Linked DNA regions of Callithrix jacchus. The protein of the gene in region 2 purifies or fractionates together with the protein of the main gene of each other region. This does not show direct contact. Links are inferred from orthologs where the notes say so. Each region holds a gene or a part of one and is shown on either strand. Other genes may lie near its edges. The genes, in order: BAG5, DNAJB1 and PYCR3.

Region 1 (9,869 bases), on a different chromosome or scaffold from region 2:
CAGGTGGATCGCGAGGTCAAGAGATCGAAACCATCCTGGTCAACATGGTGAAACCCCGTCTCTACTAAAAATACAAAAATTAGCTGGGCATGGTGGTGCGTGCCTGTAATCCCAGCTACTCAGGAGGCTGAGGGAGGAGAATTGCCTGAACCCAGGAGGCGGAGGTTGCAGTGAGCCGAGATCGCGCCATTGCACTCCAGCCTGGGTAACAAGAGTGAAACTCCGTCTCAAAAAAAAAAAAAAAAAAATTAGCTGGGCATGGGGGTGTGCACCTGTAACCCCGGCTACTAGGGAGGCTGAGGCAGGGAAATTGCTTGAACGCAGGAGGTGGAGGTTGCAGTGAGCCAAGATTGTGCCATTGCACTCCAGCCTGGGCAACAGAGCAAAAACTCTGTCTCAAACAAACAAACGCATTTAGGCCAGAGAGGTCTCTCATCTTGAAAACAGACCCATGGTAAGATTTATTTTACTTTAACAGGAAGAAATGCTGGGAGCAGTGGCACATGCTTTTAACCTAGCACTTTGGGAAGCCAAGGCGGGTGGATAACTTGAGGTCAGGAGTTGTCTCTACTAAAATTACAAAAAATTAGCTGGGCATGGTGGTGGGCACCTATAATCCAAACTGCTTGGAAGGCTGAGGCACAAGAATCGCTTCAGCCCAGGAGGCAGAGGTTGCACTGAGCCGAGATTGCACCACTGTACTCCAGCCTGGGCTACAGAGGGAGACGCCATCTCAAAAAAAAAAAAAAAGAGTCTATATGACAATGAAGAAATCCTTATTTCTTTCCAGCACAAGTTCACAAAATAAGCGAGGGAAAATCCTCCCACTGGGGAAAAGTCTTGGTTGATTTCCAGTTTGCTCTCTTAAGAACATTTTCAGATACCTGTTGTGTCTTTCTGCCCAAAGACAGAGATGCTGAATGGGTTTCTATGCTCTAGAAATAGAAGGCAAGGGCTTGGCCAGTGTAACACAGAAAGGAGCTAGCCACTTGGGTGTCTGTTTGACAAGTTGCTCTGGTAACTCCTTGTTTAAACTGTAAACTAGACAGACCTTCAAAGCTACAATTAGAAAAGTGTGCTAATAGCCACAGCCCAACAGAAATGAAAATGTATAGGCAGGCACATTTGCAATTTTTAATTAGCTTTTTTTTTTTTGAAGATGAAGTCTCGCTGTTATCAGGGTGGAGTGCAGTGGCTCAATCTCAGCTCACTGCTGCAACCTCCACCTCCTGAGTTCAAGCGATTCTCCTGCCTCAGTCTCCCAAGTAGCTGGGATTAGAGGCCTATGCCACCACACCCGGCTAATTTTTTTGGATTTTAGTAGAGAGGGGGTTTCACCACCTCGATCTCCTAACCTCGTGATCTGCCCGCCTCGGCCTCCCAAAGTGCTGGGATTACAGGCGTAAGCCATGGAGCCCGGCCACTTTTTTGATGCAGAGTCTCACTCTGTCACTCAGGTTGAAGTGCAGTGGCGCCACCTCGGCTCACTACAACCTCTGCCTCCTGGGTTCAAGTGATTCTCCTGCTTCAGCCTTCCAAGTAGCTGGGACTACAGGTGTCTGCCACCACACTCAGCTAATTTTTCTATTTTTAGTAGAGACAGGGTTTTACCATGTTGGCCAGGCTAGTCTCGAACTCCTGACCTTGTGATCCACCCACCTCGGCCTCCCAAAGTGCTGGGATTACAGGCCTAAGCCAGCGTGCCCGCCTACTTCTTTAATTATTGTTTTTTTTTTTTTGTTTTGAGACGGAGTTTCACTCTTGTTACCCAGGCTGGAGTTCTCAGCTCACCACAACCTCCGCCTCCTGGGTTCAGGCAATTCTCCTGCCTCAGCCTCCTGAGTAGCTGGGATTACAGGCACGCGCCACCATGCCCAGCTAATTTTTTGTGTTTTTAGTCGAGATGGGTTTTCACCATGTTGACCAGGATGGTCTCGATCTCTTGACCTCGTGATCCACCCGCAAACCAAGCTTTCCAGCGTCCCTCGTTAGCCTGCTTAGTATTTCCAGGCTTAGCTTGAATATTTTATCTCCAGCAGCTTCCACAGTTAGTCAACATTTTCATCTGACAGATGGAATCAAGGCCTAGGCCTCCCTTAAACAAAACACCCCTCCCAAGAAGCTAAAAGGCCTTCTTATAAAGGCCTCCCATCCTTTATACGAAGTAGAACTTAAAAAATTGCTTGTCGCTGGGCGGGCGCGGTGGCTCAAGCCTGTATTCCAGTACTTTGGGAAGCCAAGGTGGGCAGATCACGAGGTCAAGAGATCGAGACCATCCTGGCCAAGATGGTAAAACCCCGTCTCTACTAAAAATACAAAAATTAGCTGAGTGAGATGGTGGGTGCCTGTATTCCCAGCTACACGGAAGCCTGAAGCAGGAGAATCGCTTGAACCCTGGAGGTGGAGGTTGCAGTGAGCCGAGATGGTACCACTGCATTGCAGCCTGGGCGACAGAGCAAGACTCCATCTCAAAAAAAAAAAAAAAAAAAGAAAATTGCTTGTCACTCTTTCTTGCTACAGACATTCTTTGCGAATCTTTGGCCGGTAACATGCATATACCCACACACAGTGTGCAAATAAGAACAACTATCCGGCCGGGCACGGTGGCTCACGCCTGTAATCCCAGCACTTTGGGAGGCCGAGGCGGGCAGACCACCAGAGGTCAGGAGTTCGAGACCAGCCTGGCCAACATGGTGAAACCCCGTCTCTACTAGAAATACAAAAGTTAGCCAGACGTGGTTGTGGGTGCCTGTGGGTGCCGGTAACGCCAGCTACGCGGGAGGCTGAAGCAGGAGAATCGCTTGAACCCGGGAGGCGGAGACTACAGTGAGCCAAGATCGCGACACTGCACTCTAGCCTGGGCAACAAAAGCAAAACCCTGTCTCAAATTAAAAAATTAATTCTCAGGAATAAATAAGGTAGGCACAAACTTGGCAGGTGACTCTGTTATGCTTAAAGCTTCTGGCTGTCAACAGTCCCCGACGGGGCGGCGGCACCCTTGGTCCCATCGGACTGAGGGCGTGGACGCGAGAGCCTTGGGGCCGCCCCTCCGGGCCCAACGTCCCCAGGCGCCAGCTTACCCCGCTGGGAGCCGCATCCCTGCGCTCGGCGCCGTGCTCGGGAGCGAGCTGACAACCGCGGCGGGCGAAGGCGCGGCAGAGAGGAAGGAGAAGGCGCTTCTTTCCCGCCCGCAAGGCCACCATGGCCCCACGGCGCCTGGCTCCCGCGGCGCACGGCAGCATTGCGACGACGCGAGGGACCGTTTTACGGCAGGGTCGCGAAGCCCGAGGGAGCGCGGCGACGCGGCCGATCGTGCACTTTCCCTGCGGTGCGACGGCTGCGGGGTCGACAGGCGAAGCAGGCTAACCCGACCGGCCGCTCCTTGGTCGCGGCCACTCCAGGCTGCCTCGCTGCGCGCTGGCGGTGGGCGTGGTGCTGTCGGCGGCTAGGAGCGGACGCCGGAGGTGTCCCCGGGTTTGGGGTTGTTCGGCCCGGGGCGGGGCTGGCGGGCCCGAGCGACGGCCGGGGCTGCGGAAGTCGCGGAGGCGTCGGCGGCGCGTCGCGCGATGGCGCGGGCGGGACAGGTAAGCAAAGTGCGGCGTGTGGCCTTTTCCCTCCGTCGCGGGGACGAGTGTAGCCTCACATCGGCGCGGGGCTCCCCACCCGGCCACCCCTGTCCCGGCGCCCACCCCCGCGTGGCCTGTTGGCACAGGCAGGACCGGGCGGGACCCGGTGTCGTCCCCGCCCCTGGGTCTGACGCGGGTCGGGGCAGGCCAGGTCTGGTCTCTGGTGTCTCCGGCGGGGCCTCGGCTGCCCTCCTTGCCAGGCTCTACCCGGCCGGGCCGAGCGCCCCTCGCGCGCCCATTGTGAGGTCAGGGCCGGCGGGCGCGCCCTGGCACCCGGGCCGAGACGCCCGGGGCAGCTGCTGCAGCAGTAAAGTGGCGGCGCCTTCACCGCTGCCCGGCTCGGACCTAGTCGGGAGGGGCGCGAGGGATGCAGCTGGGGGCCCAGCTCCGGTGCAGCACCCCGAGAAGGGCTGGTCTTCCACCTCCCACCTCAACCACGGGACGCCAAGACTGCAGCCAGCTCAGGTCTCTTCTGGGTAAAGGGCCAAGAGGGAAGGGCGAGGCGGGGAGGAAGGAGCGCCGGCGGCCTGCCCTCCGTGGCCGTCAGGACACCCACAGGGGGTGGAGGCTTTTCCGTCGGTTGCCCACCTCGAGCACGCCGTTTGGTAGAAACCAATAGCTTGAAACAGGTACTGAGCCACTGTGGACTCTCAGTGGGAAGCGAGTGAATGAATTATTCATAATTACCACGTGTTCGCGGGTCGTGTTTTTTTTGAGAGAATGGAGCATGGTAGGGGCTGAGGAGGTTCTGGGCTTCCAAGGCCCAAGATGGCGCCTTCAGCGCAGTCCCCGTCGCTCTTCTTGACCTGTGGGGTTTTTAGCTCTTCAGGGAGACACCTGTGAGGGCAGATATGTGAGGAGCTAAAAGGGTGGGGCAGGGAGGAGCACAGAGGCGAGGAGAGAAACCACGAAGCGGGAACCTTGGGGATGGCTGAGAGCCCCTGGTTTTGGTTCTAGTGGTTCAGTGTCTTTGGCTTAGAGTTTCTGGAAACTAAGGCATAGCTGTTTGGCGGGGGCGGGGTGCTGTTAATGTTTGGCAGGTTACAAGAGCTACTGCTTCACGTTGCACAAAGGTGCCTTGCTGGTTCCAAAAACAGAGTTTGTGCCGGGTGCAGTGACTCACACCTGTAATCCCAGCACTCTGGGAGGCGGAGGCGGGCGGATTGTCTCAGACAGCCTGGGCAATATAGTGAGACGTGCCTTTCCTAAAAGTGGTAACGTTAGCTGGGCGTGGTGATGTGCGACTGTAACCCCAGCCGCTGGGGAGGCTGAAGTGGGATGACAGTATACCTGTTTAAATGAGAATTTTAGTGTCTTAATATATCATTCATGTTCTGCAGAAGCTTTGTGCTGTAATAAGTTATTCTTGTCATCTTTTAGTGCTTGTGAAACTGACCACCACAAAAGTATGGATATGGGAAACCAACATCCTTCTATTAGCAGGCTTCAGGAAATCCAAAAGGAAGTAAAAAGTGTAGAACAGCAAGTCGTCGGCTTCAGTGGTCTGTCCGATGACAAGAATTACAAGAAACTGGAGCGGATTCTCACAAAACAACTTTTTGAAATAGACTCTGTAGATACTGAAGGAAAAGGAGATATTCAGCAAGCCAGGAAGAGGGCGGCACAGGAGACGGAACGTCTTCTCAAAGAGCTGGAGCAGAATGCAAACCACCCACACAGGATTGAAATACAGAGCATTTTTGAGGAAGCCCAGTCCCTTGTGAGAGAGAAAATTGTGCCATTTTATAATGGCGGCAACTGCATAACTGATGAGTTCGAAGAAGGCATCCAGGACATCATTCTGAGGCTGACACATGTTAAAACTGGAGGAAAGATCTCCTTGCGGAAAGCAAGGTATCACACTTTAACCAAAATCTGTGCAGTGCAAGAGATTATCGAAGACTGCATGAAAAAGCAGCCTTCCCTGCCGCTGTCTGAGGATGCACACCCTTCTGTTGCCAAAATCAACTCTGTGATGTGTGAGGTGAACAAGGCCCGAGGGGTCCTGATTGCGCTTCTGATGGGTGTGAACAGCAGCGAGACCTGCAGGCACTTATCCTGTGTGCTGTCCGGGCTGATGGCCGACCTGGATGCTCTGGATGTGTGCGGCCGGACAGAAATCAGAAATTACCGGAGGGAGGTAGTGGAAGATATTAACAAATTATTGAAATACCTGGATTTAGAAGAGGAAGCAGACACTACTAGAGCATTTGACCTGAGGCAGAATCATTCCATTTTAAAAATAGAAAAGGTCCTCAAGAGAATGAGAGAAATAAAAAATGAACTCCTCCAAGCGCAGAACCCCCCTGAGTTGTATCTGAGCTCCAAAACAGAATTGCAGGGTTTGATTGGACAGTTGGATGAGGTAAGTCTTGAAAAGAACCCCTGCATCCGAGAGGCCAGGAGAAGAGCAGTGATAGAAGTGCAAACTCTGATCACGTACATTGACTTGAAGGAGGCCCTTGAGAAAAGAAAGCTGATTGCTTGTGAGGAGCACCCATCCCATAAAGCCGTCTGGAACGTCCTTGGAAACTTGTCCGAGATCCAGGGAGAAGTGCTTTCGTTTGATGGGAATCGAACCGATAAGAACTACATCCGGCTGGAAGAGCTGCTCACCAAGCAGCTGCTGGCCCTGGATGCTGTCGACCCGCAGGGAGAGGAGAAGTGTAAGGCTGCCCGGAAACAGGCTGTGAAGCTTGCCCAGAATATTCTCAGCCATCTCGACCTGAAATCCGATGAATGGGAGTACTAAAATACCAGACTTCTCACCTCTGATACTGTTTTGCACTTCATATATACTTCTATGTATAGAGAGCTTCTAGTGCATTGCGCCCAAATGTGATTTATACCTGCATATTTCAGTCTCAGTATTTATGATTCAAGCAACTTCTGTTCGGCATCTGCTGCTTTTGATGTTGCAAGACAAATATCATTACGACACGTTCACTTTTCCATTGAGACCGCTGTCTGTATGCCGTGGTGTGGTTTGTTTGGTTTGTCCGTGTGTGTGTGTGTTTAATCAGAAAATGAAATAGAGGCGGCTTTTGTGAATTTTAAATGGGTTGTGCGAGCATTAAATGCAGGTATTTCACAGTCTAGAAATAGGCATAACCTTACATAATACTAGGAGAATTGTGAGAAGGGGGAAATTTTGGGTTAAATAGGAGTGAGGTTCAAACACAAGCAGTACATGTTCTGTTTCACTGTGCTCGACAGAAATTTTTTTTCGGTTTTAAGGCCTGATTGGTCCTACTCAGCTTAATGGGGTGGGGTTTTTTTTGGTTCGTTCAGACAGTCCATGCTTTTGAAAACATTTTTACTTGGAAAAACAGCATCTGTATTTTCCCCATACTCTACATTTTAGAGAGGGGAATAATCTTGTTTTTGTGTGCAACATGAAAATTATGAAAACTAATAGCCAAAAAACCTCTGAGATTGCATTAAATAGAAGGGATAAAGGACCAGCTATAAATACCCTGTAAATTTTTTTTTAATATCAGAGCTTATTGTTTTTCTTAGTAATTCATAAGGACGGGAACATTTAAGTGAAGTTAATGGAGCTTTTAAAAAAAAGAAAAAGGAAGCACCCGTACCTGTAGTTGGAGGATGGAAACGAGATTGGTCACCAATGTCAGGTTATATTAAAACCAAGCCGAAAAGGCCTGAATGTAGCATGTCATGGCTCTCTTGTGTTGTCGTCCAAGGCTGTAAGATGGACAGCCCTGTCACGCCTCCCCAGTGCTGTCAGTAACCCAGAAGGACCACGCCTTCCTGTTTTCCTAGGCAGTCAGCTTTTAACCACTCCCGTAGTAAACATCGTAAAGATCACCTGCTCCAGGACCAGTTAGAGAAACCTGCTGGGAATTAAAGGCTTGCTCTGGGTGCCTGCCAAACAGCTGAGCTCATGTTAGGGGCATGTGGTGGTTTCTCTGTTGCCTGAAAGAGCCATGAAAGTCAGTCGTGCATGAAGCGTCTCTTTTCTGCTAAAGGATGTGCATTTCCATAAATCCTTTCTGAGGATCCAACGCAAAATAATTCCCCAAAGTTCTGAAGTGCCTTGAACCTGTTGGTCCCAGTGTTACCACAGATTCTTTCACCAGGGTCACCTTTCGCCTAGTCATCTTATTACAGCACCTCTTTGGAACTCCACGGTATTATCACTCACTTTCAGAGATGCTCATTTTGTAACTTTGTGTAGGGAAATTACCACTTTAAACAGCTGAAAGTATGATAGCTAAGGGAGTAGCCTTGGTCGGTGGAGGTGGCTCGTACCTGTAATCCCAGCACTTTGGGAGGCTGAGGCGGGTGGATCACAAGGTCAGGAGTTCAAGACCAGCCTCGCCAATATGGTGAAACCCATCTCTACTAAAAATACAAAAATTAGCTAGGGGTGGTGGTGCATACCTGTAGCCCCCAGCTGCTGGGGACGCTGAGGCAGGAGAATCGCTTGAACCCGGCAGGTGGAGGTGAACCAATATCAAGCTATTGCACTCCAGCCTGGGTGACAGAGTGACTCCATCTCAAAAGGAGTAGTCTTTAAGCGTAGCCCTTAACAAATCTTCACTCTGTCTCTCAGTACTGCCCATTCATTAAAATCCCTTGATAGGTCTTTCCTACTAGAAATATCCTAGAACCACTGGATGGTGGGGCGAGAGGGCAGTGAGCCTCCCACAGTCCTGTAGGCCCAACACCTGGCAACCCTGGGCTCAAGGCAGGTCACTGGAATCCACATTTTGGCCAGAGTAGTTTTAACATTGCTTTTCTGTATCATAATTTTAGAATTCTCTTAAAATCTTAAGGAAGAGTTTTAAAATTAGAGCTTTGTTTAATTATACCACCAGGAAATCGTGGTTACACGTGAGACACGTCCTTCACCAGCGTACCACTTACATTTTAAATTCCATTTTGTGAAGTTAAATGTCAGCATTCCCTTTAAAAGTGCCCGTCGTTCTTTGAAGGTAGATGTCACCATCATTCTTTTCAAACAAAAGCGTTTGTGTCCCTTTTGCCAAGCTCTGGGCATGGTGTGTGAGTACAGGGCGTCAGCTCTTCCACGGTCATTTTGAATTGTTCACGGGTTATTTTGGTCATGGAAATGATCAGATTGACCTGGAGTGACTGTGAGGCATGGCTTTGCTTCTGCTTTCAATCTGTGCTAGTCCCTTGTACCGGCTTATTCTCCCGCAGTGAACCCTGGTGACACTGACGCAGCGCTTCACCGCCCTCATGGGGAGCTGTTTGTGCTAATACGGGCTACTGCATGTAATTCTTCAGCTGGGCTCGTCACATTGTATTCCATTTTTGTGATCTTACATGAAAAGAATCTGTACTGCAAGTAAAACCTACTCCCCAAAAATGTGCGGCCTTGGGTCTGCATTAAACACTATAATCCGTGATCATGCAAAACGTGGCTGGGAACGCTTGCCTTCTTTACGTTCTGTCAGCCTTGCTTTATCCACACAGAGGAGAGCCAGTCAGCCTGCAGCGAAACAGTTACTAAAATCACCGTAGTATGTCTACAAAGTATAGTTTAGTGCTTCATGTTGCTAAAATGTATATATTTGATATACTTCAGTTTGAGAAGGTTAGTTTTTATTATTTGTTTTTGTCAATTTCTTTTTCTTTTTTTTTTTTGAGACGGAGTTTTGCTCGTTACCCAGGCTGGAGTGCAATGGCGCGATCTCGGCTCACCGCAACCTGCGTCTCCCGGGTTCAGGCAATTCTCCTGCCTCAGCCTCCTGAGTAGCTGGGATTATAGGCACCCGCCACCATGCCCAGCTAATTTTTTTTTTTTTTTTTGTATTTTTAGTAGAGACGGGGTTTCACCACATTGACCAGGATGGTCTCGATCTGTTGACCTCGTGATCCACCCGCCTCGGCCTCCCAAAGTGCTGGGATTACAGGCTTGAGCCACCGTGCCCAGCTGTTTTTGTCAATTTCTATCTGATTTTTAAGGGTCTGATCTTAGCTTATACATGTAAGTTTTGGGGGTTTTTTTGAGCAAAGCTTTTTGGCTTTTAATTTGTTGGGTATTTTTCTCTTAATAACTAGAGAAATATTGGCTGTAATACAGGTGCGTGTTTCCAGTACCTTGGTTCCTGTCCCCTCTGTCAACTCTGACAATCGGAACAGTATGTCTTCAATAATTCAGTGTTATTTTGAGATACACATATTAGTACACTCTTAGTTATTCTTGAAATAAAGCCAGTCTCTTAGGCTTACAGTGGAGAGAGGCTGAGTCTG
Region 2 (9,960 bases):
TGAATAGTATTCCATTGTGTGGATGGATCACATTTGTTCATTCATCTACTGAAGGACAGATTTAACAGCTGCAACTAATAACTGATAAAGCCTCAGCAAACATTTGCTCATGAAATTTCGTAAATGAACAAAAGTTTTTATTTCACCTGGGTATCCCATTAGGAGTGGGATTGCTGGCTTATATGGCTGTAGTGCTTTTGACGGTCTTTTTTTTTTTTTTTTTTTTTTTAATTATAAAGACGGGGTTTCACCATGTTGGTCAGGCTGGTCTTGAACTCCTGACCTCAGGTGACCCGCCCTCCTTGGCCTCCAAAGTGCTTGGATTACAGGTGTGAGCCACCATGCCCAGCCTTTTTTTTTTTTTTTTTTAAGATGGAGTCTCGCTCTGTCACCCAGGCTGGAGTGCAGTGACATGATCTCAGCTCAGTGTAACCTCCACCTCCCAGGTGCAAGTGATTCTCCTGCTTCAGCCTCAAGTAGCTGGGATTACAGATGTGTGCCACCATACCTAATTGTTACCTTTTTAGTAGAGACAGGCTTTCACCATGTTGGCCAGGCTGGTCTCAAACTCCTGACCTGAAGTGACCCACCTGCCTCAGCCTCCCAAAGTGCTGGTATTATAGGCATAAACCACTGCACCTGGCCTTGAAGATCTTTTTAAAATTTATTTTGTCCTACCTGCAGATACCAAAGAAAAAAAATTAAAATTTATTTTGATTTTTATTTATTTCTGAGACAGGGTCTCACTGTTGCTCAAGGTAGAGTCATAGCTCACTGCAGCTTGGAACTCCTGAACTCAAGTGATCCTCCCACTTCAGCCTCCCAAGTAGCTGGCATGTGCCACCATGCCCAGCTACTTTCTTTTTCATTCTTTGTAGAGATGGAGTCATTATGTGGGCCAGTTTGATCTGGAACTCCTGGGCGCAAGCAGTATTCCTGCCTCAGCCTCCAAAGTGCTGGGATTACAAGTGTGAGCCACCACACCTGTCCTGAAGGACTCTTTGAACAGATGAAAAGCTGAAGACAGGAGTAATGCAATTTTTTTTAAAGCTTTATGATCATCTAAGTCACATTATACACAAGCTGAGTGTCTACTGAAAGCACTCAGTATGCTAAACACTTCAGCATTTTACTCACTGGGTGACCCTATGGAAGTCACATGACCTCTCAGAATCTCAGTCTCCCCACCTGTAAAATGGGTGTAGCAATAGCCTAGCCTTGGCCTGGCATGGTGGCTCACACCTGTAATCCCAGCACTTTGGGAGGCTGAGTCAGGTGATCACCTGAGGTCAGGAGTTCAAGACCAGCCTGGCCCATCTCTACTAAAACTACAAAAAATTAGCTGGATATGGTGGTGCTTGCCTGTAATCCCAGCTACTCAGGAGGCTGAGGCTGGAGAATCGCTTGAACCCAGGAGGCGGAGGTTGCAATGAGCTGAGATTGTGCCATTGCACTCCAACCTGGGCAACAAGAGTGAAACTCCATCTTAAAAAAAAAAAAAGATAGCCCAGCCTCATAGAGCTGTTGTGACAATTATATGAGTTAATATTCATTGAGCACTTGGAACCGGTTTGGTCATGTCAGTGTTAGATGTTGTTACATGCCTGTAATCCCAAAACTTGGGGAGGCCAAAGCTGGCAGATCACTTGAGCTCAGGTGTTTGGGACCGGCCTGGACAACAATGGCAAAACCCCATCTCTACCAAAAAATATAATACAAAAAATTAGCCGAGCATAGTGGTGGGCACCTGTGATCTCAACTACTCAGGAGGCTGGGGCGTGAGGATCATTTGAACCCAGGAGGTGGAGGTTGCAGTGAGCCAAGATTGTGCCACTGTATTCCAGCCTGGGTGACAGTGTGAGACCCTATCTCAAGAAAAAAAAAGGTGGAGGACTGGTTCAGTGGCTTACTCCTATAATTCCAGCACTTTGGGAGGCGGAGGCAGGTGGCTCACCTGAGATCAGGAGTTTGAGACCAGCCTGGCCAACATGGTGAAATCCCATCTCTACTAAAAATACAAAAATTAGCCGGGCGCCAGGCACGGTGGCTCAAGCCTGTAATCCCAGCACTTTGGGAAGTCGAGGCAGGTGGATCACCAGGTCAAGAGTTTGAGACCAGCCCAGCCAACATGGTGAAACCCCGTCTCTACTAAAAATACAAAAATTAGCCAGGTGTGGTGGCACGTGCCTGTAATCCCAGCTACCTGGGAGGCTGAGGCAGGAGAAGCGCTCGAACCCGGGAGGCAGAGGTTGCAGTGAGCCAAGATCATGGCACTGCACTCCAACCTGGGTAGCAGAGCAACACTCCTTCTCGGGGGAAAATAGGAAAATATATATACATGTTGTTCTCTCTCCCCATGATTGGTTCAGGACCCCTGCTCAAGTACAGTTATCAATGTCTAGGGAATTTCAGCACCCATCCTTCCTGGTTGTCCAGTTCTAGTCCAGAGTTCTTTCTGATGTGGTTACCTCGCAGGTCTTTGTGTGGGCAGAGAGAACCAGCTCCGCCTGATGGGCAGCAGGGCAGGCTGTGGCCATGGTCTTTTTCCTCAGGAATCCCTGTCTGCCCAGGCACAGCTGTCACTGGAAGCTTTCAGCTGTGATGCTTCAGGAAGAGGGTGATGGCTGAAGAGCACACCACTAAGCAAAATGGTTTGTCACCCCTTTGGCAATGCTTCCTTTGTGCCATGTCTGTCCTGAGCACTTTGCAAATGTTAACTCATGTAAACTTCAAAGCCCTTTTGATGTGGGTGTGACTGCTATCCTCTTTGTACAGATGAGGAGGCTGAGGCCAGCAATGGCTAAGTAACTAACCCCAGGTCACTCAGCCAGGAAATGCTGGAGCCGGGAATGAAGCCCGGCTGTCTGGTTCCAGAGCCAGTGTTACATGGCCCTGACCCTCCCGGACAGTTCTTCCAGGAATCTCCCCCACATCCTTGGGCCCTTCCCCAGTAGAACCCCTTTCTGAGCCTCCTCTTCCCATCAGCCCTGTTCTTGACCAAGGCACCCCAGACTTTCAGAACCAAATGGGATCACGTTGCCCACAACTGAGGAAACAGAGGACTTGAAAGGTGTATGACACACCTATGTCCCCCAAATCATAAAGGTAGTGGGAAGAGAAAGAGATTCACTTAAGAACGGGGAATATTTATGAGGCTCTGTATTCCAGGCCTTGGTGATCCAGTGCAGACAGAACGTGGCCTCTGCCCAGGTGGCAATCTCAGACTGGGAGGGAGGATGCATGCCAAGGAACAAGATGATTTCAAATTTAGCAGCAAGTCCTCTTGAGAAGGCAGTAAAGTGAAGGGGGTGGAACTGGGAGGACCTTGGGAGGTGAGCTTTCGTCCAGATCCTCACCTTGCTTTAGGAGGTGAGACCAGAAGCCATCTCCGTCGCAACGGCCTTCTCCCCACATCTGGGAGAATAGTGCTGGTGGGTTCTTTGTTCATTTTATTTTCTCATTATGTTGGTTTTTTGTTTTGAGAGGGAGTCTTGCTCTGTCACCAGGCTGGAGTGCAGTGGCCCGATCTTGGCTCACTGCAACCTTAGCCGCCCCGGTTCAAGCAATTCTCCTGCCTCACCCTCCCAAGTAGCTGAGACGACAGGTGCATGCCACCAGGCCTGGCTAATTTTTTTGTGTTTTTAGTAGAGACGGGGTTTCACCATTTGGCCAGGATGGTCTCAATCTCTTGACCTTGTGATCTGCCTGCCTCAACTTCCCAAAGTGCTGGGATTACAGAAAGTGCCGGCCTTTTTTTTTTTTTGAGATGGAGTTTTGCTCTGTTGCCCAGGCTAGAGTGCAATGGCTGATCTCAGCTCACTGCAACCTCTGCCTCCCGTGTTTAAACTATTCTCAGGCCTCAGCCTCCCAAGTACCTGGGATTACAGGTGTGTACCACCGCACCTGACAAATTTGTTATTTTTAGGAGAGACAGGGTATCACCATGTTGGCCAGGCTGGTTTCGAACTCCTAACCTCAGGCGATCCACCCAAAGTGCTGGGATTCCAGGCGTGAGCCACAGCGCGCTGCCTTTTGGTCATTTTAAACAGCTTCCTTATGTTGCCTAGGCTGGTCTCCAACTCCTAGCCTCAAGCGATCCTCCCGTCTTGGCCTCAGAAAGTGATGGGACTACAGACGTGAGGCCCGGCGCCCAGCCTGGTGCGTTCTTTTATTTCCATATTACAAATAAAACGGGGCTCCTGGGTTAGGCAGACACAGGCAGTTCGTGCAGCGTCACCCGGAGGGAGCCCACAGCGGGCCCAACGAGACAAGTGTGGGCAAGTTCATCATCTCCTGGGGAAAGGTCGGGGTAGCCCCAGGCCCCACCCCTTCCCTAAACGGCACCTTCGTCGTGCCTCCCGACCCACTGACTCAGGCGGAGGGCGGGGCGCAGAGTCGCTGGGGCCGCGTAGAGAGTGAAAGAAGGCCACCACTGGCTCGTCCCGGAAGTTGGGCGGGGCCTCCTCCGACCTGGGTGCGCGCCGCGGGGAGGCGTTGCCGACGGCGGAGCAGGAGGGGGTGTGGCTCCGCGCGGGCGGCCGTTGACGCCGAGGCCCCGCTCCGGATGTCGCGCGTCGCGGACTGGGCGGCGGCGATTGGCCGGCCCGGCTGGGGGGGGCGGGGCGGAAGGTTCTGGAGGGGGCTGGCGGGCTCTGGAAGCTTCCGCCGGACGGGTATATAGAGTCCGGGACCGGGCGGCGGTGGAGCCGGGGTACGGCGGTTGTGGGGCGGCGGGCCGCAGGCGGGGGCCATGGGCAAAGACTACTACCAGACGCTGGGCCTGTCCCGCGGCGCGTCGGACGAGGAGATCAAGCGGGCCTACCGTCGCCAGGCGCTGCGCTACCACCCGGACAAGAACAAGGAGCCCGGCGCCGAGGAGAAGTTCAAGGAGATCGCCGAGGCCTACGACGTGCTAAGCGACCCGCGCAAGCGCGAGATCTTTGACCGCTACGGGGAGGAAGGTGCGTGGGCGCGGCCCCGCCGTTTGACAGGCGGGGAAACCGAGGCACGCCGGCCGCTCTGGGTGCCTCCCCCCTCCGGGGAGGACGCCCCGGGCCCGGGGGCTAAGCTGCTCCGCCCTCGGGCCAAGCGGGCCTCCGCCCTCGGATTGGTGGCCGCGGGGTGGGAGGAGGAGCCTTGGCCCAGCCGCTCGCCCAGAATCTTCTAGCAAGTCTGGGGCTGCCCCTCCCTGGGCGCGTCCTCCCGAGGCCCGGAGCAGCCCCGGGGTGCGGTGCAGGGGCAGTGGGGCCGTGTGGGAGCCGGAGGGCGGACGACGGGGACGGCGCGGCGGAGCGCACTGCGGGCCGGGGCTTACCTAGGTTCGGCCGCCGGGGTCTGCAGGGCGGCGTCTCAGGTTCAGCTGCGGGCGCCGGGCTGCGAATGCGGGCGCCGACCCTCGCGGGCTTGCGGGCGGGGATGGGATAATACCTGGAAAGCGATGACCTGGCCCCGGCCGGGCACGCAGGAGGCAGCGGCGCCCACTGCGGCCGCCCAGGTGCAGAGAGCGGGGCTTTTTGTCCATGTGCTGGTTGATGACTCAGGCTGGATTCTGGGCTTAATTGGAGGAATGAACTGACTTTCTATGCAAGCATGGTGGCAGTGAATGCTAGTGTGTGAGGGTTCAAAAACTCCCCATCTATTTTTTTTCCTTATTTTTACTCTTCTCATCAGTGGTCCTAAAATGTTGAGAGTAAACACTTACCGAAAGCCCACCCTGGACCGTGTCTTAAGCCATCCTTGGTGACATAGCCAGGGGGATGAGTCAGTCCAGGGATGGTAGGGCATGGGTGGCACCTGGAGGTGGATACCTAACTGCATGAGTCCTTTGCCACTGTCACACTACACGGAAGTACTGGGGTGGGGGGCGTCTCTGCTGCTGCAGTGAGAGGTAGAAACCTGGGGTTCTTCCTCGCTCTCCCCTGACAGGCTAAAAAAAGTTCCTCCCCCATGGCTTCCAAGCTTCCTCCCCCCAGCCCCCAAAAGGGAAGCTCCTTGAGAGAGGCTGCTGTTCAGCCATCTGACTGCTTCCAATTCTGCTTTTTAGGGCTAAAGGGCAGCGGCCCCAGTGGCGGTAGCGGTGGTGGTGCCAATGGTACCTCTTTCAGCTACACATTCCATGGAGATCCTCATGCCATGTTTGCTGAATTCTTCGGTGGCAGAAATCCCTTTGACACCTTTTTTGGGCAGCGGAACGGGGAGGAAGGCATGGACATTGACGACCCATTCTCTGGCTTCCATATGGGCATGGGTGGCTTCACCAACATGAACTTTGGCCGCTCCCGCCCTGCCCAAGAGCCCGCCCGAAAGAAGCAAGATCCTCCAGTCACCCACGACCTTCGGGTCTCCCTTGAAGAGATCTACAGCGGCTGCACCAAGAAGATGAAAATCTCCCACAAGCGGCTAAACCCCGATGGAAAGAGCATTCGAAATGAAGACAAAATCTTGACCATCGAAGTGAAGAAGGGGTGGAAAGAAGGGACCAAAATCACATTCCCCAAGGAAGGAGACCAGACCTCCAACAACATTCCAGCTGATATTGTCTTTGTTTTAAAGGACAAGCCACACAATATCTTTAAGAGAGATGGCTCTGATGTCATTTATCCTGCCAGGATCAGCCTCCGGGAGGTAAGGTGCCAGGTGGGGCAGTGGCTGTAGATGGCTGCTCTTTGAAGCAGATAACTATTTGCTGAGCAAATGTGTTGGGGCATGTGGTACATGCCAGGTTAGGGGCACAAAGTGAACAGGACTGCTGGAGCTTTCATGGTGGTGACGTGTAGATCTGGGAACCAGGTCTTGGCTGCACAGGCCTGATGGGTCTTACTCTTTGCCAGATGGCCTCTGGGCAAGAGCTGAGCCTCTTGAGCCAGCTTCCATCTAATGCTGTCCCTTTGCTTTCCAAGGCTTTGTGTGGCTGCACAGTGAACGTCCCTACTCTGGACGGCAGGACCATACCCGTGGTGTTCAAAGATGTCATCAGGCCTGGCATGCGTCGAAAAGTTCCTGGAGAAGGCCTCCCCCTCCCCAAAACGCCCGAGAAACGTGGGGACCTCATTATTGAGTTTGAAGTGATCTTCCCCGAAAGGATTCCCCAGACATCAAGATCTGCACTTGAGAAGGTTCTTCCGATATAGCTACCTGAGCTCTCCAGACTGACTAGGGACCTTTCCAGAGCTCAAGGATTTCTGGACCTTTCTACCTATTGTGGACCATGAGAGGGCGGAGGGCCCAGGGAGGGTTTTCATACTGCTGAATGTTTTCCAGAGCATATATTACAATCTTTCAGAGTCATACACTAGACTTAAGTGGTTTTTTGAGCAATAGGACATCAGGTGGTGGGAACAGCAGGAAAAGGCATTCCAGTCTGCCCCACTGGGTCCGGCAGCCCTCCCAGGAGGGGCCCACATCCTCCTCCTCCAGTCCCTGTCCAGGGGTGAGAGGCAGACAGACCAGCAGCTGGACTTGATGCTTGTGTCCCTTTGCTTCTGGCTGGTAGATGGTGTCAAGCTGCCGCCAGACCCTGTACACTCCTCCGTCTCTGTTGTGTGATCAGTTTGTGATTTATTCTGTATTTGTCTCCCATGTCTTAATCTTCCCCTGAAGAATCCTGTCTTCTCTTTGGCCATCTCAAATTGAGAACCTCTAAACTATTCCTGCAGAACTGCCTGGCTGGCGCCCACAAGCAATACCTCTTGTTCCAGCAGGACCAAGGGAGCCAGTCTCCAGCAAGTGACTCCAGTAAGTGCAGCACCTCTCGCTGGAGGGTGTGGAAGCCCGGCCCCAGCAAGGGACCCTCCGGACCTCTGGCTCTAGGGAAGCTGAATGTGCTCACTGTGGGTCACACTTTCCATTTCTGTCAGGCAATCTTGTCACACCTGGGCCGTACCAGTGGCCTAGGTAATTTTTTGTTTCATGGACTCTGGACTCTTTCAAAGGGATCTGATCCTTTTGAGTTTTGCACAGCCCTAGATATAATCCCTTTTGATAAAAGGGTCTTTGCTTCTGATTACAGGAGCACTGTGGAACGTCTGTAAATATGTTTTTATAATTAATTCCGTGTATAGTTGGTGTACACTCAAATAAAACCAGTCCCCAGCAGCCGCTGCTCTCTGTACAGGGCCATAATGGAATTCTGAAGAAATCTTGGGGAAGGAGGGGGAGTTGGAACAAATGTCTGTTCCCTCGACACCAGTTGGGTGCTCAGACCTTTAGACTCATTGTAAGTTGCCACTGCCAACATGAGACCAAAGTGTGTGACTTGTTGATGCAGTGCGACAGCATTAAAGACTGATGCTAAACCTCAGGAGAGAAGTCCTGTGACTCTGTTTGAGGGTTCTGCTGGTTTGGGGGGGTGGAGTGAGGACCTGGGCATCCCTCCAGGTGCAGTCAAGATGGGAGGGTGGGATGGGCTGGAGGCAAGTACCCTGCAAGAGAAAGATAAGTCTCCCTTCCTGGGCCTGAAGTGGGTTGGAGAACTTCCACCCAGACTCTGGGTACAAACAACCAGAGACCCAAGCACACTGGCCTTGGGGATCATTTTTTGATGAAGGTTGGGGGAGGCAGGGTGTAGTTCCTAATACTCCTCCTTTTCTTCAGGGCCCCTGGCTTTTCCAACAGACCGCTGCCCTGGGGCCAAGGGGGCAACCCAGGGTCTGGCCTCTTAATTCCGTATCACTCCTTTCCTGCTAGAACTGCTTGCACGTCCTGAACTTGGCCAAACCGGAACTCCAGGGCCTGCCCAGGACTCGCCCCACCCTAGAGAAGCCCCATTTCCTGCCTTGGCTTTATTTGTAGGCCACTGAAGCTGCTTTTACTTTGTAACTTTTTTTAAAGAGCTGGTTTTATTATAAGGTAAGTAATTACTCAGGCTTAAAACAATGTATCACTGCTTTGCTGCAACATGTTCCCAAGTGGAAACATTGTATAAAGACCAGGAGCAAGGCTCAGGGCTGTCACCACAGGGCTTTGGAAGACCAAGGTGGGCAGATCACTTGAGCTCAGGAGTTTGAGACCAGCCTGGGCAGCACTGAGAAACCTCATGTCTACAAAAAATAAAAATTCAGCCGGGGGTGGCAGCGTACACCTATAGACCCAGCTATTTATGTGACTGAGGCAGGAGGATCACTTGAGCCCAAGAAGTAGATGACCCAGTGAGCTGTGTTTGTGCCATTGCCCTCTAGCCTGGGTGACAAAGTGAAACCCTGTCTCAAGAAAAAAAAAAAAAAACTATAAAAGTCAAACTGGACCAGGCATAGTGGCTCATGGGTGTAATCCCAGCACTCTGGGAGCCAAGGTAGGAAGATCACCTGAGGTCAGGAGCTTGAGACCAGCCTGGTCAACATGATGAAAACCCCATCTCTACTAAAAATAACAAATTAGCCAGGCATGGTGGTACACGCCTGTAATCCCAGCTACTCAGGAGGCTGATGCGTGAGAATCCCTTCAACCTGGGAGGTGGAGGTTGCAGTGAGCAAACGTGCTGCCACTGCACTCCAGCCTGGGGGACAGAGCGTTGTCTCAAAAAAAAAAAGTCAGGCTAAGAGTTGCTTTCCCTTCCCACTGAAACAGTTTAAGCACTGAAAACGGTCTAGGGGCAGCTCTGTCAGGCCAGGAGGACTTTGTGTAATGACTGGAAAGTTATATATACCGTTAATTAAAACATCTTACAAATTCAATAAACTTAGACTCTGTTCCTCAGTGGCTCCTGCCATGCTTCAGTTGCTTAGCAGCCCACAGATGTATATAGCCAGTGGCAATTGCTAGACAGGTCACGTCTCCAGGCTTTTCCCCAAAGGTAATACAGTGTCACTTTGAAGAGCAGCCACATTAAGCCAGGAGATGCCACCCCCATCAGGAGGTGACCCCTGGAATAACAGAGCTAAGAGATGTTTACCAAAGTATCCCAGGCACCAAGGTGACTGCAGAACTGACCTGACTGACCTCATTGGTGTCACAAATCCCCAG
Region 3 (9,639 bases), on a different chromosome or scaffold from region 2:
AAGGTGGGGACATCACCTCTGTTCTGCCAGGCCTGCCTCCAGGGCTCCTAGGAGGAGCTGCTTCACGGCCAGTGCCAGTGAGGGCTGCTCACCTGGGCCTCATCTGCAGCCCGGGCCGCCCCTGGGGCTGCCCCTCAGCGCAGCTACTCATTGCTGCTGCGTCTTTGGCAAGGCTTTCATCTCCAGCCTTTCTTCCCATCTCAGCTCTTTCGCTGGCCTGGGTCCCAGAAGGCTGGCGCTGGTGCTGGCAGACCCCGTCCTCTCATCTGGGTGGTTCTGTCCCACAGTCCCTGGATGGTCACTTTCCATAAACAAGGCAGTACTGGTTTTTGCTATTAAAAAAGAAAAGCAGGTGCAGGCTGGTGGGGGCACTAGGAGGCTGTGAAGAGTGAGTCTGCCTGCTGGCATTTAGTGGTCCGGGAATCCTAGAGGGCTTAAAAAGCACTCCCTAGCATTGGGTGCACTGGCACATGGTGCTGTGTGGCAGAGGCTCGGGCTGCTCTGCCCATGCCTGGCCCCGAGGGCAGCCCCAGCCATGGATCCCTGAGGCCCTGGGCTGGAACCTGGGGCCCTGTCCCAGCCATGCTTCCAGCTCACTAACCCTCTCTGGGTTCTGCTCAGTGGCTGAAGTGATGTAAAGACCCCAGGATTGGTGGCTGTATTGGACCCTGGGGGTGGGGGAACCCTTTGGGAGGCTCTTTGCCAAGGTTGTGCTGGTGCCCTTGCCTTCGAGGCCCGGGCTATGGTGACAGGCTCAGGCTGGGGTGAGGCTGCATCTGCTTCTTTCAACCGCATCCGGAGCCTGGCCTCTTGCTCTGGCAGATTCTGCACATTCCCTGCTGGCACAGGGGTGGGTGGGGGCTATGAGCCAGCTGTCCTCAGCTCAGATGGCCCCCAGACCCCCTAGCTCCCGTTCACTGCTCCTTCAGTTCGTGATCTTGTGTCATTGTCACTGTCAGAGCTCCTGGGCCGGATGGGGCTGGAGAATGGAAGGCGCTGAGGCAAAGATGAGTGCGGGTCCTGTTGAAACCACCTGACCCACAATGTCGGGGGATGAGACCACTGCCTTGACCTTGGGGGACTCCCTGGACATCCACTGAGCTGTGGATGAAACATCAGAATGTAGTGGAAAAGGAGAGCACCCCTAGACTGGGGTTGGTCCCGCAGGGATATCAGCCCCTTGCCTACCTAGTCAAGATGCCCATGGAGAGCGATCCCAACAGCACATGGGGGTCCCTGGGCTTCTGGGGCCCACGATCTGTGGAGGGCTCTTCTAACCGGCAAGCTTATTTACAGCTGAGCTTGCCCACTCGGATAGGCCCAGTGGCTTTATCCAATAAAGGCCGGACATGCCCACTCTGTGAGCATCCCTGTTGTGAAGTCTTATTTTTGTAGCTCTTGATCCAATGCTTGGATCAGGAATACCTCTAGATGAATAGTTGGGGCACAGGACATAAAAGGGGAACACTGATTAAAGAGGACTCTGTAATCCAAAGTCAGAAGGTTGAGACCATCCTGGCCAATGTGGTGAAACCCTGTCTCTACTAAAACACAAAAAACTTCCATGAGGCGGCAAGCGCCCAGAATCTCGGCTACTCGGGAGGCTGAGGCAGGGGAATCACTTAAACCCAGGAGGCAGGGGTTGCAGTGAGCCGAGGTATCACACCACTGCACTGCAGCCCGGGTGACAGAACAAGACTCAAGTCTTTAAAAAGATACCGTGATCACATCCACTATTTTCTATCTTGAAGAACATTTTTGCCTGGCAATAGAAGGTACAGGGGAGGCCTGGGTAACCCACTCCCTGCCGTGCCCCAAGAAGCTAAGGGTGTGTGTGTCACAGGCCCTCACCAGCTGGGCCACGAGTCTAGCTTGGGTCCTCCACCTCCAGAGCTGAGCTTGCCTAGTGCCCAGGGCTTGTCAGAGGTCCCCAGGGGGAGACAGGCCTTGGCTCAAAGCCAATGATTCTCCTTGCAGATGGGCTCAGTGTACATGCATGTGGTCCTCAGAAGAGCTGTCCATGTTCCTTCAGGGGGCAGCCTGTGCCAGACCCCAGCCTCCCAGACCTGCCCACAAGCCTAATTTTTGTATTTTTTTTTTTGTTCTTTTTTTTTTTAAAGCTGGGGTTTTACCATGTTGGCCAGGCTGGTCTGAAACTCATGACCTCAGGTGATCCACCCACCTTATCCTCCCAAAGTGCTAGGATTACAGGCATGAGCCACCACACCAGCCATTTTTGTATTTCTAGTAGAGACAGGGTTTCACTGTGCTGGCCAGGCTGGTCTTGAACTCCGGACCTTGTGATCTGCCCCCATTGGCCTTCCAAAGTGTTGGCATTATGTGCATGAGCCACCACGTATGGCCAGGAACCTGGTTTCATCCACCTCTGGTGAAACATGAGCTCACTTGGTGCCCTCTGGCATCTTTATTCCCATCTCCTTAGGCTGACCCTCACAAGTGCCAGGGCCAGGCTTAGACCAGTCAACTGAGTCAGCCTGCCCTGGAAAACCGGTGGGGGTGGGAGCTTGGGGGTTGGCTAGGCTGAGGGGAGTGAGAGAGAGCAGGCGGAGGGCATAAGTCCGTGGCCAGAGGCAGCTGAGCGTGAGAGATGGAGCATGCTGCTGTCGTGCAGGTACCCTTAGCCCTATTTTGCACTAGGAGATGGATCTGCCCAGGCACACAGGGAGATGGCATGGTGGAACCTGCTGCCCAGCCTCACTGAGGGCGTGCTCCCAGCCTCGCCTCCAGAGCTTGCTGGGTGGAAGCGGACAGCTGCTGCACTCATGGGCCAGTGTGGAAGTAGAGGCCAGGGTGAATCTTGTGGGGCAGGGGACGAAGCTGAGGCCGTCTGGCCCAGGCCCGCCTGACCCAAAGGCCCCAGAACCCCAGCCTTCGATCCTGAGGCTTTGCTTTGCCCCCAAGTCCTGGCTTTCCTGACCTGCTGTCCGTTAGGGACATGTGGAGGGGCTAAGTCCTGCTGTCAGAGGCCTGTGTGGTGGTGCCAGAGCCACAGGGCATCCCAGGACCCCTGACCCACATGAGGGTTGGGAGGCCCCAGAGCCACCTGGCCACTTGCCAGGAGCTTAGGGTCAGGAGGAAAGAGTGAGCCTGTATCCCAGCTGAAGCCGGGGTCTGTGTTTGTCCTGACTGGCCAGGGCTACCCTCCCAGACCTTAAGCTGCCCCATCTAACACTGCCTGCCTGGCGCTGCCCAGCACTGCTGCAGACTTAGCCCAGCAGCTCCTTCTCCTTAGCAGGGGAGAGCACACAGCCACCCAGCTGCCCATGGAGTCCCCACGCACAGCAGGCCAGGGCCCCTGACTTTACTGCGGGGGAGAGGGTCTTTTATGCACACCCCGTATGGCTTGTGCCCCCTAGAGCTGAGATGAGACAGCTGGCCTAGCTGTAGCTGCACGGAGCCACCTGGAAAGCCAAAGGCAGGCCCGGCTCCAGACCAGGCATTGGGCCAGCCATGCCCGTTATCATAAGTTCTGATCATGGCCTTGACCTACAGCCTAACCATGCGGGCACCTGACCAAGACGCCATCTCTTGGGCCCCTCAGAACCAATGTTATAGCAAGGCAGGCTCACTGCAGCAAGGAGCAGGGCTACTACCACAGTGCCTTCTGCCCATGGGAGAGGGAGAAGTGTCCCCACTGGTGGGGTCTCCCCAACCTACTGGAACCTCTCAAGTCCTGCCCCGTGCATTTCCCTGTGCAGGGGGAGAAGGAGCGGTTGGAGACCCTCCCGCAGGAGGGAGAGAGTCGCAGTCCTCAGAGGAAGGGGCACAGGGAGAGATGGGGGCACAAAGGCAGGCAAGGATGGCCAGAGCCCAGCCTACTTCCTGCTGAGCTCCTTGGCCCGGCAGGTGGCAGCCTCCACAGCGCTCATGGTGGCCGCTCGCAGCCCGCCCTGCTCCAGGGCGTGGAGCCCGTAGATGGTGGTGCCGCCCGGGGTACACACATCAGAGCGCAGCTGGGCTGGGTGCTGGCCCTCGTGCAGCAGCATCTTGGCTGTCCCCTAAGGAAAGCATGAGGGCCTGGTGACCAGGGGAGGTGGCACGGCACCCACTGTGCAGCCTGCCCTCACTGCATCCCTCAACCTCAGCCCCAGCTTCTCGAGCCTACTATTTCCCTGCCCACTGAAAGTGGTACAGCCTGGGCCTTCTCAATGGTCCCCGGGAGCCACCCTCACTCACCAGCAGGGTCTGAGCAGCGATGCGGTGGGCCAGGCCACTGGGCATACCCATCTTGACGGCACCCTCAGCCAGGGCTTCGGAGAATGTGCACACCTGTAGTAGCGGCATGGTGGCGGGGGAATAGGTCTCAAAGCTGGGGGGCTCAGAACTTTCAGGAACAAGGCCCAGAGCACTCACTGTCCATGGATGGCCAGAACCAAGGCCTGAGCCCAGGAGTCTGCAAAGGGGCTGGCCCCAAAGATCCCCAAGGCAGTGAAGTTCTGGGGACAGCAGAGCCCCCAGTGGGCCTGGGACCAACCACGCAGGCCCCAAGGTTGGACTCTGAGGGCAGAGGCCATTAGAGGGACTTGGGCAGGCCTCTCTTTACTAAGGGTAGGGCAGGGGACGGACAAGGCAATACTCACAAAGGCCACGCCACTGCCACTGAGGCCAGTGTGGATGTCGATGTAGGCTTCGGGTACCTCCTCACACCGCCCACAGGCCTCCAGCAGATGCTGCAGGAGCTCGGTCTCGCTGCTGCCTACGTGGCGGCCCCGTGTCATCACGATGGCCCCTTCCTGGACCATGCAGGGCAGGTTGGGCAAGACCCGCAGCACCCGTGTGTGTGGGGGCAGCAGCTGGCCAGAAAGAGGTTAGAATCAGGGAGCCTGTGGGACTGGGCCCTGCTGGGCAGGCATCAGCAGGGGCATCAGGAAAGGTCCCCATCAGCTAGCTGCAGGCTCCCGCGGCTGCCTCCCAGGTACAGCACCAGGAGGGAAGCTTAACCTCAGCCATCGCACCCAGCTAGGCCACCTGGCCACCTCTCAGGCTCTCTGGAAGGCTGCCTGCCACCCAAGCTGGCCAGCAGAGCCTAAGCTGGGACCAAGGCCTTAGCCCAAGGGATACTCACCTCCTCCAGGGTGCTCAGAGAGACCCCAGCAGCCACGGACACTAAGATGTGTTCAGCGGTGACCACAGGAGCCACCTCTGCCAGAACAGCTGGCAGGATGTGGGGCTTGGTTGCAAAGATGACGAGCAGGCAGCTCTGCAGCACTTCCTGGTTGGAGTGGGTAGTCCGGCAGCCCAGAGCCTGAGCCAGGGACACCAGGACCAGGCCTCAGGGGCTGTGTGAGCAGCACACCCTCCTCACCACAGCCCTTCCTGCTGGTGGCCACACATTCCCAGGGTCCCAGGGCCTCTCCCATTGCAAGTGTCTAGACCACCCCCATGTCACCAGTGCCCGAGATTCACCCAGACTAGACCTCCTCCTCACAGGCAGTTCTGATGTCAGCACCTCCCCAAGCCCTGAGCCCTCCATCCCATGAATATCCGTGGCCACCATCCCAGCATGCACACACACACGTGCACACGCACGCACTCATGAGCACGCACTCACATACACACATGCACACACAATCACACTCACATGCACATACGAACTCACACGTACACACATACATGCATTCACGAGCACTCACAATGCACTCATGTGCACACACGTACTCACATGTGCACACACGTGGTACACGCACACACACACTTTGCTATGGCTCTCCACAACCTCCCTTTCCCCAGTCCAGACCAGCCAGTCTCCAAACTTCAGCTAAATAAGCCACCCATCCCTGGCTCTGGTAAGTGTCTTAGTTGGACGGGAGCTAAGAGTTATCCTGCGCTCTGTGCTCACTTGGAAGTGACATAGGTTCCTGTCTGTCGGTGCACTGGCCAGTATGTGCTGAGCTTCCACTTTTCCTGGAAAGGAAAAGGAAGAGGGGTTGAAGGGGTAGGGTAGGATGGCAGTGAGGAGAGGGAGGAACTCGCCTGGCCTCTCAGGCTCAGCCACACCTGGCCCATCATGGGCCCCCTTCTGGCCTCAGGAACCCAAACCAGGGATGCGCCATTCACTGGGCCCAGGCACTCAGATCCACTGACTCTACTTGGCAGTCAACGTCCCTGACTGCTGCTGGGTATGGAGGCCAGGAGCTTGCCTCGTTGGTGAGGACACAGATCCCTGGGGCCTCTGCCTCCAGGGAAGGGAAGGCTGCCTGAGGAGAAGAGGCAGTACTTCTAACACCAGGCTTTGGAGGAGTGTGGAGGGTACAAAAGCAGCTGATTTATGGCCACAGAAGGCCCAATGGGGGCCCAGGTTCCTCGGGAGGGAGAGTCTGTTGGGATGTCCACGAAGAGGCTAAATGCCTACTTGGTAGAAACATGCTTTTGTGGAGTACAGGGGTGGGGAGATAGGGTTAGATTTTGGTAAAGTCGAACAGGAAGACAGAAGTGTATACCACAACCTGAACGCAGCTACTAACCATGACAGTGGCAGCCATACACAGCAGTATTAGGCTCAACACTACACATATACATCTAATTACCCTGTACAGCTCTGGGAGGCATGTAATACTGCCGGGTTTCACAGGTAAAACTAAGACCTCATAGGAAGCTATTTTCCGATTCATCATGACTCCTCTGAACCCTGAAATATGGCTGAAGGCAGAGAGCCAAGAGTCACCCAGCTCTCCCCCAGTCTGCAGAAGGGCTTCTAAATGCCTGGAGAAGTATATGATCAGCGCAAACATCCCGGCTATAGAGCCGTGGTTCCGCCAGAGATGATTTTGTCTGTCTCCTCCTCCCACCCAGGGTGCATTCGGCCGTGTCTGGAGGCACTTTTGGCTGTCACAACGTACGGGTGCTACTGGCAAAGGACGAATGGTGTCACTAGAGCCAAGGTGTCTGCGGAGAAGCCCTGCTGTTCCCCAGAGAGGGGCTGGTGCACAGAGAAAACCAAAGGCTGGGAGACATGAACCTGGCTAAGGCCACGCGGCCAGGAAGCCGGCCACGGAAGTGGCACCAAGCCACGTGTAACTCAAATCTTCCCACAGCCACGTGAAAAAATTACGAGCAAACAGGCGTGTCCCCGGCTGAGCCCAGCGCAGCGGAGGCCCGGGTGCCTGGGCGCGCGCCCTCCGCCCCAATCTCTCGGAAGGAAGCCTCCCACGGGGCTGTCCCACGCCAGGCCGCGAGCCGAGCTCCGCGCCGCCCCACCTGCTCTAATGAGGCCCTGCGCGATGGCCCCCGCCATGCGACCGGCGCCCACGAAGCCCACGCGCCGCGGAGCCTGCCCTGTAGCCGCCATCTTGTCGCACTGGCCGCCGCCGCGCTGGCCGCCCATCCACAGGCCGCGCCCCACCCACAGACCTCGGCCCTACCAATGGGACACGCCTCCCCGCCCCCCCCGCCGATTGGCTGCCGGGACCTCACGCTCCGGGCCCGCCCGGCTTTTTGTCCGCTCTCTACTGGTCCGCAAGGCGCGGAGGCTCTGCCTCTCGCTGCTTATTGGCCCGAAAAGGCTATCCCCCCTCCCCTCACTGCCCATTGGCTGAGAGGAACCGAGGGTTGGCGGGGCGGGCGGGGCAGTAGCGCTCGAGCTGCCGGGGTTGCCTGGACCGGTCCCAGGCGCACGTGCGACGAACAGATCTTCGTTTTTCGGAGGGGAGGGGTTGCGAAGCGGATTACGGGGCTGGTCGGGAGCCTGCGGTCCCTGAGGCTCCACCGACCACAGACGGGGGGCCGCGAGGCGGCACTAGGGGCGGAGGCCCAGGTCACAGAATGCTGGCCGGGGCCAGGGGAGGGGCCGACGGGGAGGGGAGGGGGACAGTGGGGGAGCGGAGATGCTCGTCATTGTTTTTGTTTTTTGAGACGGAGTCTCGCTCTATCCCCAGGCTGGAGTGCAGTGGTGCGATCTCAGCTCACTGCACTTATCTCCCAGATTCAAGCGATTTCCCTGCCTCAGCCTCTGGAGTAACTTGGGATTACAGGCGCGGGCCACCACGCCCGGCTATTTTTTGTATTTTAGTAGAGATGGGCTTTCACCTTGTTGGGCAGGCCGGTCTTGAACTCCTGACCTTGTGATCCGCCCGCCTCAGCCTTCCAAAGTGCTGGGATTACAGGCGTGAGCCACCGCTCCCGGCCGTCATTTTAATGATACAAGAAAAATTAGGTTTGAAGATCTGAGTCTGGTTTTGTTTTCGTCGTCCAATCTAAGGCTTCATGTTACAGACGTTTTGTTGTTTTAGTCTGAAGACTTTGGCATTTCCTGAACTCTTCAGTAGTTAAATCCTCTCACTGATTCAACATTTACTGTGCAGTTGCAGCCTCTGGGCCCTGCCCTAGGCCTGGGCAAGACCACCACACAGCAGCAGATGGGACAAGCCAGATCACAGCCTACCGCCCTGTTTGTTGGCAATGGAGACAGAGCAGTCGGCACATGCAGGGGATGGCCAGGGTGTCAAGGCTCTGAAACAAATGACGTGGAGCGGGACAGAAAGCCACCAGGAGGCTGCTTCGGCCACCACAGCCAGGAAATCTGGTGGTGCAAAGCATCCGCTTTGCACTAGCTCTCAGTGCCAGCAGCTGTCTCTCCTGCCACCCAGGATCCTGCCAGCCCCTTCCAAAACAGACCCCCTGGATTTTCTCCCAGGCCAGTGATGGCTTGGGACCAAGTCTGTGGAGGTGAGAGGGGCCAGAGACATCCAGCACCATGCCATCATATATAAGGACAAAGCTCATCATAAACACGTGGACTGAGGCCAGGTGAAGAGGGTTGCTGGCTCAGTGCCCAGGGCCTAGGGGCATTCAGCTTCTCCATCCCATGCCGGGCCGGGCTTCTGAGCATCGGCTGGGAGCCCTCCGCTGACCTGGACATCTAGCCAGCCATGGCTTGTGTCCAGGGCACCTCTCTGCTTTTGGTGGGGCTTCTTCCCACTGCTCCTCACCTGGCAGATCCAGGCGGGCACACAGGTGCCACCCTCTCCAGGAGGCCTTTCCTGAACCCCTGTGTGGGCAGAGCCTTCGTCCACAAAGGACTGTTGCCAGGGGACATATTGTGAAGGAGGCCAACCCACCTCCTGGAGCTCCAGGTCCTGGGGTATTGGCATGAGGGGTGGAGGTCGAGGCAGGGCTCCCAGAAGTTTTCAGACAACACAATCCCAGTAGGGCAGATGGATGCTCAGAGAGGGGCTGAGAAAGTGCCATCAGGAAAGATGTTTTGAAGGCTGGACCATCCCAGCTGAGGCCTAAAGGTTGGGAGGCCTTGGCCCAAGAGGGGGCCAGGCTCAGGGAGGCCTGGAGGACACCTTGGCTTGCCAGACACAAAGGGACAGTGACATATGAGGTGAGTGGTCGACTGGGCACCAGACACAGGTCTGGACTTGGTGCTGGGACAGGGAAGACACACCACTGCTGCCTGAATGAACAAAGGAAGAAATGAAGCAACAGACTCAGCCTGTAGTCAGAAGGCATTGTGTGCTTGAAGACTCAGCCTGTAGTCAGAAGGCATTGTGTGCATGAAGACTCAGCCTGTAGTCAGAAGGCATTGTGTGCATGAAGACTCAGCCTGTAGTCAGAAGGCATTGTGTGCATGAAGACGGCACAGGGCACCCAGGAGAGAGAGATCCTGAGAAGGGG

What was found.
Region 1: the proteins of DNAJB1 (region 2) and BAG5 purify together in Homo sapiens (affinity purification with mass spectrometry; 3 studies listed by BioGRID and IntAct, with this or other methods). This does not show direct contact. The link is inferred for Callithrix jacchus from reciprocal best matches to the Homo sapiens genes DNAJB1 and BAG5.
Region 3: the proteins of DNAJB1 (region 2) and PYCR3 purify together in Homo sapiens (affinity purification with mass spectrometry; 3 studies listed by BioGRID and IntAct, with this or other methods). This does not show direct contact. The link is inferred for Callithrix jacchus from reciprocal best matches to the Homo sapiens genes DNAJB1 and PYCR3.

The regions. Positions count from the first base shown.
Region 1 is NC_133509.1:138,386,882-138,396,750, reverse strand, and holds BAG5 (BAG family molecular chaperone regulator 5), read left to right. Parts: upstream 1-3,539; 5' UTR 3,540-3,993; coding exon 3,994-4,091; exon of another isoform or gene 4,092-4,286; intron 4,287-5,006; coding exon 5,007-6,378; 3' UTR 6,379-9,854; downstream 9,855-9,869. Other genes in the region: COA8 (cytochrome c oxidase assembly factor 8), read right to left, coding at 3,081-3,203. UniProt on the Homo sapiens protein: Co-chaperone for HSP/HSP70 proteins. It functions as a nucleotide-exchange factor promoting the release of ADP from HSP70, thereby activating HSP70-mediated protein refolding.
Region 2 is NC_133523.1:13,292,690-13,302,649, reverse strand, and holds DNAJB1 (dnaJ homolog subfamily B member 1), read left to right. Parts: upstream 1-4,702; 5' UTR 4,703-4,750; coding exon 4,751-4,961; intron 4,962-5,240; exon of another isoform or gene 5,241-5,550; intron 5,551-6,043; coding exon 6,044-6,624; intron 6,625-6,899; coding exon 6,900-7,130; 3' UTR 7,131-8,299; downstream 8,300-9,960. UniProt on the Homo sapiens protein: Interacts with HSP70 and can stimulate its ATPase activity. Stimulates the association between HSC70 and HIP. Negatively regulates heat shock-induced HSF1 transcriptional activity during the attenuation and recovery phase period of the heat shock response.
Region 3 is NC_133517.1:53,987,063-53,996,701, reverse strand, and holds PYCR3 (pyrroline-5-carboxylate reductase 3), read right to left. Parts: upstream 7,321-9,639; 5' UTR 7,310-7,320; coding exon 7,219-7,309; intron 5,926-7,218; coding exon 5,861-5,925; intron 5,267-5,860; coding exon 5,087-5,266; intron 4,815-5,086; coding exon 4,602-4,814; intron 4,291-4,601; coding exon 4,198-4,290; intron 4,020-4,197; coding exon 3,837-4,019; 3' UTR 2,217-3,836; downstream 1-2,216.